Linked DNA regions of Canis lupus familiaris. The protein of the gene in region 1 interacts with the protein of each later gene in a pairwise test. Links are inferred from orthologs where the notes say so. Each region holds a gene or a part of one and is shown on either strand. Other genes may lie near its edges.

What was found.
Region 2: the proteins of CTNNA1 (region 1) and ARMC8 interact in a two-hybrid assay, tested with the Homo sapiens proteins (2 studies listed by BioGRID and IntAct). The link is inferred for Canis lupus familiaris from reciprocal best matches to the Homo sapiens genes CTNNA1 and ARMC8.

The regions. Positions count from the first base shown.
Region 1 is NC_049232.1:26,500,589-26,505,957, reverse strand, and holds part of CTNNA1 (catenin alpha-1), read right to left. Parts: intron 4,280-5,369; coding exon 4,079-4,279; intron 3,516-4,078; coding exon 3,364-3,515; intron 700-3,363; coding exon 589-699; intron 1-588. UniProt on the Homo sapiens protein: Associates with the cytoplasmic domain of a variety of cadherins. The association of catenins to cadherins produces a complex which is linked to the actin filament network, and which seems to be of primary importance for cadherins cell-adhesion properties.
Region 2 is NC_049244.1:34,937,977-34,943,874, reverse strand, and holds the start of ARMC8 (armadillo repeat-containing protein 8), read right to left. Parts: upstream 3,960-5,898; 5' UTR 3,711-3,959; coding exon 3,666-3,710; intron 1-3,665. UniProt on the Homo sapiens protein: Component of the CTLH E3 ubiquitin-protein ligase complex that selectively accepts ubiquitin from UBE2H and mediates ubiquitination and subsequent proteasomal degradation of the transcription factor HBP1.

The DNA.
Region 1 (5,369 bases):
CAGCGCCCACCCCAAGGCCCACAGACTCCAGGCCGTGAGCCCCCTGCCACAGCTTCCCCAAGTGCTCGTGATGGAGAGGGGCCCAAAGCAAGGCTGCATTTGCTGTTCAAAATGATTTCTGAGGACTGGAAAAGGCTCCATGGAAATATTTCTTGGCATGCTCCCAAAAACATAAATGCTATTGATTGAAGATTTAATGACTCAAATGAATGCAATGGCTCTGAATGATTTTCTTGAATGTACCACTGTTATTTTTTTTTAACCCATGAATAATTAAATAGCTCATACCATGCTATCACTGAGATGGGCAAAGATAGCCATCTTTTTTGAATGTCACAATCCTTTTAACAAACATGGCATTGACCCGCCACTGGGCTCTCCTGACGCAGGGCCCTGTCATCAGCCAACGCCCCCAGGGCACAGCTGAGGCCGAGGGCCTGCTCCTGCTCCCGCCCTGCTCCTGGCTGCCATGTGCCACCCCCTGGGGTGAGCTCTATCCCGGTGCCAGGGAGACAAAGTGGGAACGCTGTGATCGATCCCAGAAAAGAAAAAGCCAAGCTCCTGGAGGCACAGGGACATGTTCCTTACCCGGGCGCTCTGACCAGCTATCAGCTGGTCATCTTCTGTCTGGACACTCGTCCGACTTCTGACATCGAAGTCTTCTGTCTCAAAGTCAGAGTCATCCAGTTCCTCGGGAGTCTGCCAGCAATATGGAGAGCACGAATCAGAAACACCCTAGGCCCTTGGGTCCAAAGTACAAACACCCAGAACTCTGGGTCTTCACATGAGCCATGTTCCAAGCAGCTGGGGCCAATCAGGTTAACATCAGCCATGATTCACTCGAGACCCGCCTCACTGACACACACGTGAGGCGTCCCAGGCTAGGCCCCCATCAGGACTTCCCAGAGGCTCGAGGAGCTTCAGCTTCTACGAGGGTCAGGACTCACCTGCACCCTACACAAAAGTGAGGCTCATCCTGGTGGGAAACGTACTGTATTGAAAAGACATTTTATCCAACATTAAGCAGATTCTTAGAACCTTCCCATGTGATGGCAAGAAGAAAATGAATGAAGGAAGTAATATTAGGCTTTCCCTTAGGACAATGCTTTGAAGAGAAGAAATAGGCAATGGATTTTCATGGACTTTTTTCTGCTTTACTTTTATCAATGTGAAAAGAACGTGGCAGGTAAGGTCTGAGTATGTCTCCAAGGTCCCGTTTCCAGTTCTAGCTCTCTAGCTTTAATTATGAAATAAAAATTCTTATTTCAAAAAAAAAAAAAATTCTTATTTCATACAACTTCCAGCCTCTCATGATTAGTGGCTGACTTGAAACCTGACGTTGTCTCCTGGAAGTTACTAGTAATGGGCAGTGGGCGGAACAGCTGGGGTTGGCTACTGGCCTGGCGGACCGGCCTGTGACAGAAGGGCAATGAGGCACATCCCCTATCTGTACCAGGATCTAATCCAAGGCGGGGCCCCAGGGCTTGCTGCAGGGCTCCCGTGAGAGGATGTGTGAGGAACATCTGGGCTGCCCAAGACTAAGCTTGTCTCTCAGTGACGTGAGGTAAGGACAGGGGGTCACGCCAGGCACCAGCAAGCCCTGGGGACACATGAGTGCAAGACCCGGAGTCTCTCTGACTTGGCGGCCACACACGACCCCACCGCTGGCCACTTTGGATCCCAGATCCCTGGTCACAGATACCTGCAGAGGGGCTTTCCCAGAGACATGCTGTCTTGTGAGAACCTGCTCTTGTGCCAGCCCTGCTGGCCCCGTCAGAGACCCAAGAACTATTCTTGCCAAGAGACCAGGTACCTCCTGTTCCTTCCTTTCTGCTGAGCATCTGTGTACCAGGGACCATACTGGGCCCTGGAGGTGCAGCACCGCTACTCCACTGTCGGGCCCTGTGTTGCCCACACCACAGCTCACTAGAACCACCAGCACCTCTGTTCTTCAGAGAAGATGAGGAGAGTCCAGGAGGGGCCGGGGCTCCAGAGTCTGCAAGCATGTCCCCTCGTTGTATACGCAGTGTCTGCCCGCCCAACCCCCCAAGATGTCAACCTCAGCACCAGTGACTCCTCTTTATCTTAAGGTCCCTTTTATTCCATTTCTAAGTGTCTAAGAAAAGGCTCTGGAGAAACAGGGCTGCGTCCATTACCAGCGATGGCATGCCCAGGGACCCCTTCATGGCACTGGGACAGGGCGGCCCATGTGACCAATCATTCTACCAAGCCAGCTTGCTTCTCAGGTACAAGTACAAAGAGATGGAGAAAGCAGAGCAATTTCCTGCCCCCGTGCAGCCAGGGAACCTGGGGCCTACAGGACAGCTGGCACCAACCAGGGCATGCACACTTCTCCTTCTGCCTCACCCGGGGGGCCCCGGCCCTCTTGCCCACACGTTTCTACGCTGCAGATGAAGTGGGTCCAGCCTCATGCAGCTGCCTTAGAAACGGCCCCTGTTTCCAGCTGATGAGCTGGGAGGATAAAAAGTGGGACAGGATCCCTGCCCACCCTGAGAGGTCTGTCTAGTAAACCGGGAAAGTGTAAACAACGTCTCCTGACCCCACCAGCCAGGCCGCACAGCCAGCAGTGCTCCCTGCAGCAGGCGGGCTCTGGCCCAGGCCCTTGGGACCCCCAGGTGGCCCCGGGGGACGGGGATGCACACTTCCTGCTCTCAGCTCCCAGAGCAACAGGCTCGTGCTCAGAAGACGATGTGAGACACCACATGCCAGGGGAGGGCAACTGGGAGACCCAGCCCTGGCACCCTGGGCCATATTACGGGGGTGGTGTCCGTGGCTTCTCAAAACCCTTGTATTTACGCCACCTGGGAGGGCTGCTGGGTATTCCCTCCCATAGGTCAGAGAAAATGGGTCATGTGGGGCCCAGAACAGAGAAGGCACATCAGGGGAGCTTGAGCAAGGGCTGCCACAGGCACTCCTCCTCACCCCAAGGATACAGAGGCTCTGGGATCTCCCACCACTGTCAAGGACAGGGGCGTCCATGCAAAGGATGGCTTCAACCTGCATGAAGGAAACACTCCCTTCTCAGAAAATAACTGAAGAGGCTTCACTGTGGGTTCCCTGTCGCACACCACAGTCTGCCTATCTGTGGGGAATCTATGCCTGAAACTAAATTATCAAAGCCAACTCATCCTAGCTCCCTGTCTTCGCCCAAGTTTGGGCTCTAACTTGCAACTAAAAGTCATTTTAGACAACATAATTAAATATATCTCATTCTAACAGCTTTTAGATTCATGGTTTTAATATACTGCCACCGCATCTGCTGAGTTCCAGAATGATGCATTGCTCGAGTTTAGCAAACGATAAGAAAGAAGCTGTTAAAACGTCTGAAATGCAGTTACTCACCCTTATCATCAACACCGCTTTCCTGATGTCCCGGATGCCGTCGTACACGAGGCGGGAGGCATCGATAAACTCATTCTCATCCATGGGCTGGGCTGGATCCGAGCTGAGGGCTTCCACAGCCGCCTCCACTTGCTCGGTAAAACGTGGCATGACTGTGGAGAAAGAGGCACGGCAGGTCCAGCTGGCCCAGCAGACAGCATTACTCTACCTGCCCCCCAAATCCCTCAAGGAGACAGAGGAAGCCAGGTGCATGATGAAGAGCCTGTGCCTCCAACCCATGTGAAGAGTATTTACAGTTGAAATAAACTAAATGCCATATTTTACCAAGACTCAAATCATCTTTGTCTCTGACCAGATTTTACAGTATTGGATTTGGATGGGAGAGACATGAAGTGAGAAAAATTGGAGGCCCTGCTTAAAACTAGGACCGTCCTTAATTTAGTATTTATTCACTAAAAAGAGACTTAACTCAGAAGTTCATCTTTAATAGTATGTTCAGAATTAATCCCATAATTAGCTGGGGACACATGTGAAAGGAAAGTTGTCAAAGCCTTATAATTTGGCTCATCAACTTCTCAGTCTGACATTCACCCTGACATTACTGTATGAAAGCCTGAGCTACATCCTGATCTCGTCCTTCCTACCACGAGGGCCTGCACTCACAGGGTGGACATGTGTGTGTGGGGAGTACCAAAAAGGGAGGGAGTCCCCAAACCTGTGTTGGAGAGCAGCTTCGTGGCTTCCAGGACCTTCTCCGTGTAGACCCCTGGCTCATAGTTGTCCATCTCTGAAGTGACTACATGAATGACCCGAGCAGCCCGTCCTCGAATTGCACCAGCTGTGCGGTCCAGACCATCCACATCTTTCTCTTGGAGAGCAATGACGCATTTGTTCACATCTTCCAAAATGTGATTCTCTAAATAACAAACAAAAAGCCGAATAAGGGAAAGGGCATTCCACTAGAAGGGGGACAATGGTACGCTGGCATCTACTGCTCACCGAGTGCTCATTTTGTGCCAGCTGCAGAGCCAAAGCTTCCCATGTATCATTTCACTGAAGACCAGACTAACCACTTAATTAACTGTCCCACAGAAACTCAACCCATAATCACCTCCAAGGATAATAATCCTCAATTCCAAGTTTATAGAGAGAGAGAGGAAGTGATCAAGAGATCTTTAAAGTACAGTTGTTCTGTAAGCCAGGCAGAAAATTCAGATCGCAGAGACCTTGGTAACTTCTCTCTTCTTTAAATAATTTCACTAGCCTTATGTCCAAAACAAAGTCTTAAATAGAAGAAAGGGTTCATTATAAGTCTCTATCCTTCCAGTCCTTTGCCCTTCCCTCTAGTAGATGCCAGTACTCAGACAATTTGCCAAGAAGCCAGGACAGCCCTGGGGTAGAAGGTGCTAGAAAGCAGAATGAAGCCACCCCTGGAGGGCACCAAGGGAGCCTCCCTGATACAAAAACATTTAGTATCCCTTTCATGGGTGGCCATGGGCCTACTGTGGTATTTGCAAAGACCCTTGAATTGTGTTAAGCTGACAGGTGGCTCCTACCAATCAGAGAAATGGATGTGGACGACCCACCAAAATTATTTTTCCTCAAAGCAAAATGCTTGACACTAGAGTTTGGGAACGTCAGAGTAAAGAGCTTCTGCTTCATCTGTAATTACAGCAAAGTAGAAGCAACTAAAATATCCAAGGGCAGAGTACGTAATAAATTATGGGCACTATACAGCCACTAAAATGGATGATGTCCATCTGTAACAGCTGAGCCAGGATGGTCCAGGCAACTGTTCTCACTCACCCAGAAATACAGGGACCACCAGCAGACAGCCCAGATAACAGGGCTGCTCAGACTATGGGGTGGGTGCAGAGTGACATAAAGGAAAGCCCCATAATCATCTGGCCATTCCTGCTCAAACAAAAAATGAGATGTAGGCCGCCTGGATGGCTCAGTCAGCTGGGCAGCTGCCTTCAGCACAGGTCATGATCTTGGAGCTCTGG
Region 2 (5,898 bases), on another chromosome or scaffold:
AAAGAACTTAAGGACTGATTAGATACAGGACCATGAAAGGGGGGGAAGAGCCAAAGATAATTCAAGAGGTTTAACGGTGACTGATCAATGAAAGACAGTACCATTAATAGAAATGGAAAGTCTCAATTAAGTACTCTTGGGAGAAGGGAATGTGCTTTGTTAGAAGTCTCAGGTAAGACATGAACAGACATTTCTCCAAAGAAGACATATAAATAGACAACAGACACATGATCACTCGGCATCAGGCAAATACAAATCGAAACCACAATGAGATACCACCTCACACCAGTCAGAATGGCTAAAATAAATAAAGTCAGGAAATGACAGATGTTGGCGAGGATGCAGAAAAGGGGGAACCCTCTTACACTGTTGGTAGTAATGCAAACTGGTACAGCCACTCTGGAAAACAGTAGGAAGGCTCCTCAAAAATTTGAAAATAGAGCTACCCTATGACCCAGCAATTGCACTGCTGGGTATTTATTTACCCCAAAGATACAAATGTAGTGATGTGAAGGGGCACCTGCACCCCAATATTTATAGCAGCAACGTCTACAATAGCCAAACTGTGGAAAGAGCCCAGATGTCCATCTACAGATGAATGGATAAAGAATGGCATATATACACACAATAGACTACTACTCAGTCATGAAAGAAAAGAAAGAAAAGAAAAAAAGAAAGAAAAGAAAGAAAGAAAGAAAGAAGAAAGAAAGAAAGAAAGAAAGAAAGAAAGAAAGAAAGAAAGAAAGAAAGAAAGAAAGAAAGAAAGAAAGAAAAAAGCCTGGCCATTTTCAACGATGTGGGTGGAACTAAAGGATATTAAGCTAAGTGCAGTAAGTCAATCAGAGAAAGACAATTATATGATCTCACTCATACCTAGAATTTAAGAAACAAAACAGGATCATAAGGAGGAAAGAGGAAAAAATAAAACAAGATGAAATCAGAGAGACAGACAAACCATAAAGAGATTCTTAATAAGAAACGAACTGTGAGTTGCTGGAGGGGAGAGGGACAGGGTGATGGGGTAACTGGGAGATGAATATTAATGAGGGCATGTAATGAGCGCTGGGTATTATATAAGACTGATGAATCTCTAACCGCTACCTCTGAAACCAATAATACAATTCAATAATTTATTTAAATTCAATGATAATTCATTGAATGATAATATAGATACTAATGGGAAAAAAATAGATACTAGAGGGAAAAAAAGTCTTAGGTAACATCCACGCAATTGAAGATGTGAGACTAGGTGGGAAAAAGTCAAGGTTGGCAAGGTAATCTATGAGTTGATCACAGTTAAGGTTGTAAGAGTGAAGAGATCTCTCATGGGGAGAAGGTACAAAGGGCCTTGAATGAAACCTTTAAAGGCATTTGATTTGCCCCTTGCTTGAACTATGTTTATTGGACTGTGGGCTCCTTCAGACTGTACGATCCCTGAGGGCATATCTGATCTCATCCTTGCATTCCCTAAAAGTATCCATTACAGTTTTGTACATAACTGGTGCACAGTAAGCAGCCTATATTAAAGGAATCAATTATTTCAAGGTAATTTCTGATTAATATTTCCTGTTCCACCTGCACTCTGTATTTCAAAAGGTTGTGCCACAGTGGTGTCTGATTTTCCAAGGCTCTGTAACTGGTGAACTGACAAACAAGGCATTGGGACTGTGAAAATAAATTAGCCTTCGGTGACATTAGAACTAAAGCAAATCCCCAGAAGAAGTAGGGAATACTCTTCAAGAAGTTTCTGCATAGAATTAAACAGGAGGGATCCCTGGGTGGTGCAGCGGTTTAGCGCCTGCCTTTGGCCCGGGGCGCGATCCTGGAGACCCGGGATCGAGTCCCACATCGGGCGCCCGGTGCATGGAGCCTGCTTCTCCCTCTGCCTGTGTCTCTGCCTCTCTCTCTCTGTGTGACTATCATAAAAAAAAAAAAAAAAAAAAGAATTAAACAGGAAATGTTTTTACTCAGGGAGTGAAACAAATGAAAATTTTCAACTGTAGACACGACACAAGTTAACAGTGTACAAAAAGTAAAGCTTCAGGTGAAATAAAGGATATACATGGGCAGCCCGGGTGGCTCAGCGGTTTAGTGCCACCTTCAGCCCAGGGCGTGATCCTGGGGACCTAGGATCGAGTCCCACATCGGGCTCCCTGCGTGGAGCCGCTTCTCCCTCTGCCTGTGTCTCTACCTCTCTCTCTGTCTCTCATGAATAAATAAATAAAACGTTAAAAAAAAAAAAAAAGGATAAACAAGATAATTAAAGGGAATTGAGGACAGTTGAGAGGCATACTTTAAAAAAAAAAAAAGAAACATGAGGGAAAAGTCATTCACCTGCTCTCCCACAAAATATTACAGAGGTAGAATAAAAGACAAACCTTAAAAAAAAAAAAAAAGGCGAACCTGATTCAATACCTAGATGAACAGTGTTTCCCCCATTGCTGTATAAAATAAGGAAAAGGACTGCTAAAACCCATCAGGAGGCAAATCTGCTGACAGCCCCCATCCCCCCAAATTAAATGATCTAGGTTCTGGTATGCCACAGCGTTCTAACCCTGAATCACAGCTAATGCCCTAAGGGCTTCCAGATAGGTGAATCAATGGGGGAAGTCAGGGGAGAGAAAAGAAATGCGCTGGAGTCACAGATTCTAGGAACCTGACAAATCGAAGCATCTGTAATCCAACCACCCTCTCAGAATCAGACAGCTTTCCCCAAGTCTAAAAGATGGCCAACCAGTCTTTGCCTATTTACAACAACAGCAGATGGACCATTGGTAGGTAAAGTGACTCTTGTCTGAGCTGGACAGCTCTAAATCGTAGTAAAAATCCTCTGGAGTTATTCCTCAGTAACTTTCACTCCGGGTCCTGGTTCTCAAGAGCCATAGAGTGAAAAGTGAAAGTTGTATTTCGGATTTAATTTGAAGAAAAAAACAAAACAGAACAAACAACTAGGTATTACTTCCTGGCGAGTCAATACATTCCCTTCTTTCAATAGTAGTAGGAAAATTTTAATTTTTTCTTTTTCTCAGCGTTTGACTCCCCTTAAAAGAAAAAGAAAAAAAAAAAAAAGTAATGCCAGGCACGGGTTCCTTTAGACTCGGAGCTGCGACCTCCAGAGCAGAGGGGCTCAAATAACTACACACGCTGCAGCTGACGTGAAATCCCCGTTGCCAAGAAGCAAGCGGTTCTAGCCCGAGCCTGGCCGCTCGCAGGCTGTGGGGGCCGAAGTGCCTGCACCCTCGTTGCCAACGCCGCGGGGGGGCTGGACGGGCGCTCCCTCCCAGGCCAGGAGCAAGCCCCGCGCCCCACAGGGTACCGCGCTCGGCCCGGAGAAGCGGCAACGCTAACAGGAAGGTTCAGCGAAGCACCTGGCAAGACCCAAGCCGAGCCGCCGGACCAGCCGCCCGTATGCCCAACCACCCCGTCCGCCAGAGGCCACCTGAGCAACGGCACCGGTGGGCGCTCCCGGAGTTGGACGTTTCTGGCTCGGTCGGGGTCCCGGTCTATTCCTCCCGCCCACCCTCTCTCTCCCCACGGCCCACAGCTGAGCCGGAAGCCACCCCAAGGGGTGGTGTTCCAGGAGGCACTCCATGTTTGGGGTGAGTGTTGCGGGCCGGCCCGAGCTCTCGAGCTGGCGGGCGGCTGCGGCTGCGGCGGTCACTCACCGAGAGGACGCTCATGCGGATTGGGGTCTCCAACAGGCACGCCATCTTGAGCCTTCCCACCCGGCTACGGCCGGTGCCGGCGCGGGGGCCGGCACTTTCGACAGGGAACTACTGGGCCAACGACAGGCACCTTCTGCGGAGAGACAGGCAGACAGACGAGAACACACCACACTCTAGGCACAGCTGAAGTACGACCAGGGCCCGCAGAGGGGAGAGAAAAGGAAAACCGCGCCAAGCGTCTCCTGACGAATCGTCTTCTCAGAAACGGCAGCTACTCTCAGCCTGGGTTAGAGGTGGGAGCGGGCAGCAGTTTCCGCATGCGCAAAGAAGATCTGCCGGCCCCACCTGCCGCTCGCGGTGGGCGGAGCCACAGGGGCGGGGTCTCGCTCTTGGAGCTGCAAACTTGACGGGCTGAGTCGTTACAATGCAGCTCACCTATTCACATGATAGAGACTAGTGTGTGGAGTCACATATGTAATTTGAAGTTCACGTTCCTATACATTATCTCGCTCCTTTGCAGCAGGTTCCTAGCGTGGTTATCGCCATTTTACAGATGAAGGGACTGTGGTCTCCGAACCAGGTCTTCGGCGTAATCTGCTCGACCCATTAATTCTGGTGTAGTGTTAAGAATAGATACTCTGGAGCCAGAACGCCTGGGTTAGTCTTTGCTACTTCACTTATCAGTTGCATTACGTCCAGCCAAGTTACTTAACCTCCCTATGCTTCAGCTTTCTCTTCTATAAAATAGGGGTTATGAGAACGGGAAACTAAAGGTCTTTAGAACATGACTGGAATGTAGAAAGCGTTATATATATGTTACTATTTCCTCAGTCTCTGAGTCAAATAGAAAAAAAGGGGGACAAATATCTGAGAATTAACACTAAAGCACTCTGATAACTGAAGCCAAATAAAAACATGCTTCTAATGATATTTTCTCATTAATTCAGCTTTCCCACTCCATGTGTGTGTCTATGGGTGTGGTGTGTATGTGTGTGTATAAAACAGCCCTGGACTTGGCTGGACAGGTTTCACCTTCCTGCTGTCTATAACCAGTCAGTTTTCATAGAGTGGTTGCAATAAGCCTGTTTCATTACTTGTTTTTTTCTATTTTTATGGCCACTCCTTAATCAGGCTGTTACTACCTCTCCCCTGCCCTAGAGCAATAGCCTTCCAACTGATCTTGTAGCCTCTAACCTTTTCACTTTGCTCCTCACTGCTTTCTATTCTAGAAAGTTCCCCTTAAGCCACTTTGCTTTTAGCAAAGCCCTACGTTAGAATCTGTTTTTGCTAACCAAAGAAACCCAAAGAGAATTTTTGCTTTTATGAAAAAAAGGTAGTGAATGAAAATAGCAGTGTGTGTTTTGCAGTGAGCCTTTATAAGGCACCTGTCAACCACAGGCAGCAGGGGAGAGTGGCATCCCCAAGCTCTTCCTCTGGGAACTACATTCAGCATCTCAGCATCAAGCCACCCATAGCTTTGAACTGTATCTGTGAGCATCTGTGCTTTATCTCCATTTATTTTGTACATCTGTTAGTAAGATATGGCCTAAGGTATCAGAAATGCCTAAAAGAGGTTATTTTTCAGCTCTGGGAAGGCTCAAAAATGTTTCCATATAAAGTTATGGTATTCCTTCTTCACTTTATGCCATTTTAGTTTAGAAAGTTTTAATAAGAACACCCTAGCATTAAACAGCATAAAGAAAAAACAAATGTATATGTATCTGTTAATATAGCTGTTTTGTGTCTTTAAATAAATTCTTAGATGTTAAAAAAAAAGAACACTCTAATTTTGCTTTGTGGGGGAAACCTGTACTTGGTTTTCAAATTTATTGTAGCCCTAATCATCCTTCCTCATGGCTCTGTCTTCCCAAACTGTTGAGTTTCTAGAAAGCAGGAATTTCACTTCAGATTTTTCCTTCTGCAGTATTCTCCAAACTTCAGTAATCTGCATACCACCCATGCAAACTTTGTCATCTGAACCTGGGTGTTGTTATTCACTCAGTATTTTTCTTTAAAGTCAATTTCAATTCATTAAATAGTTTAGCTTCATCCTAAACCATAAGAGTCTGTAAAATCAAGTTTTTGTGCTTATTTTTATTCTATTACATATTAACATGATAACTACAAAAAAGTTTACATGTCCACCTATCACCTAAAATCATGTCATATTCTGCATACTATAACATAGCAGAGCATAACCCTTGAACAGAGGATATAAAAGTATCGAATGAAA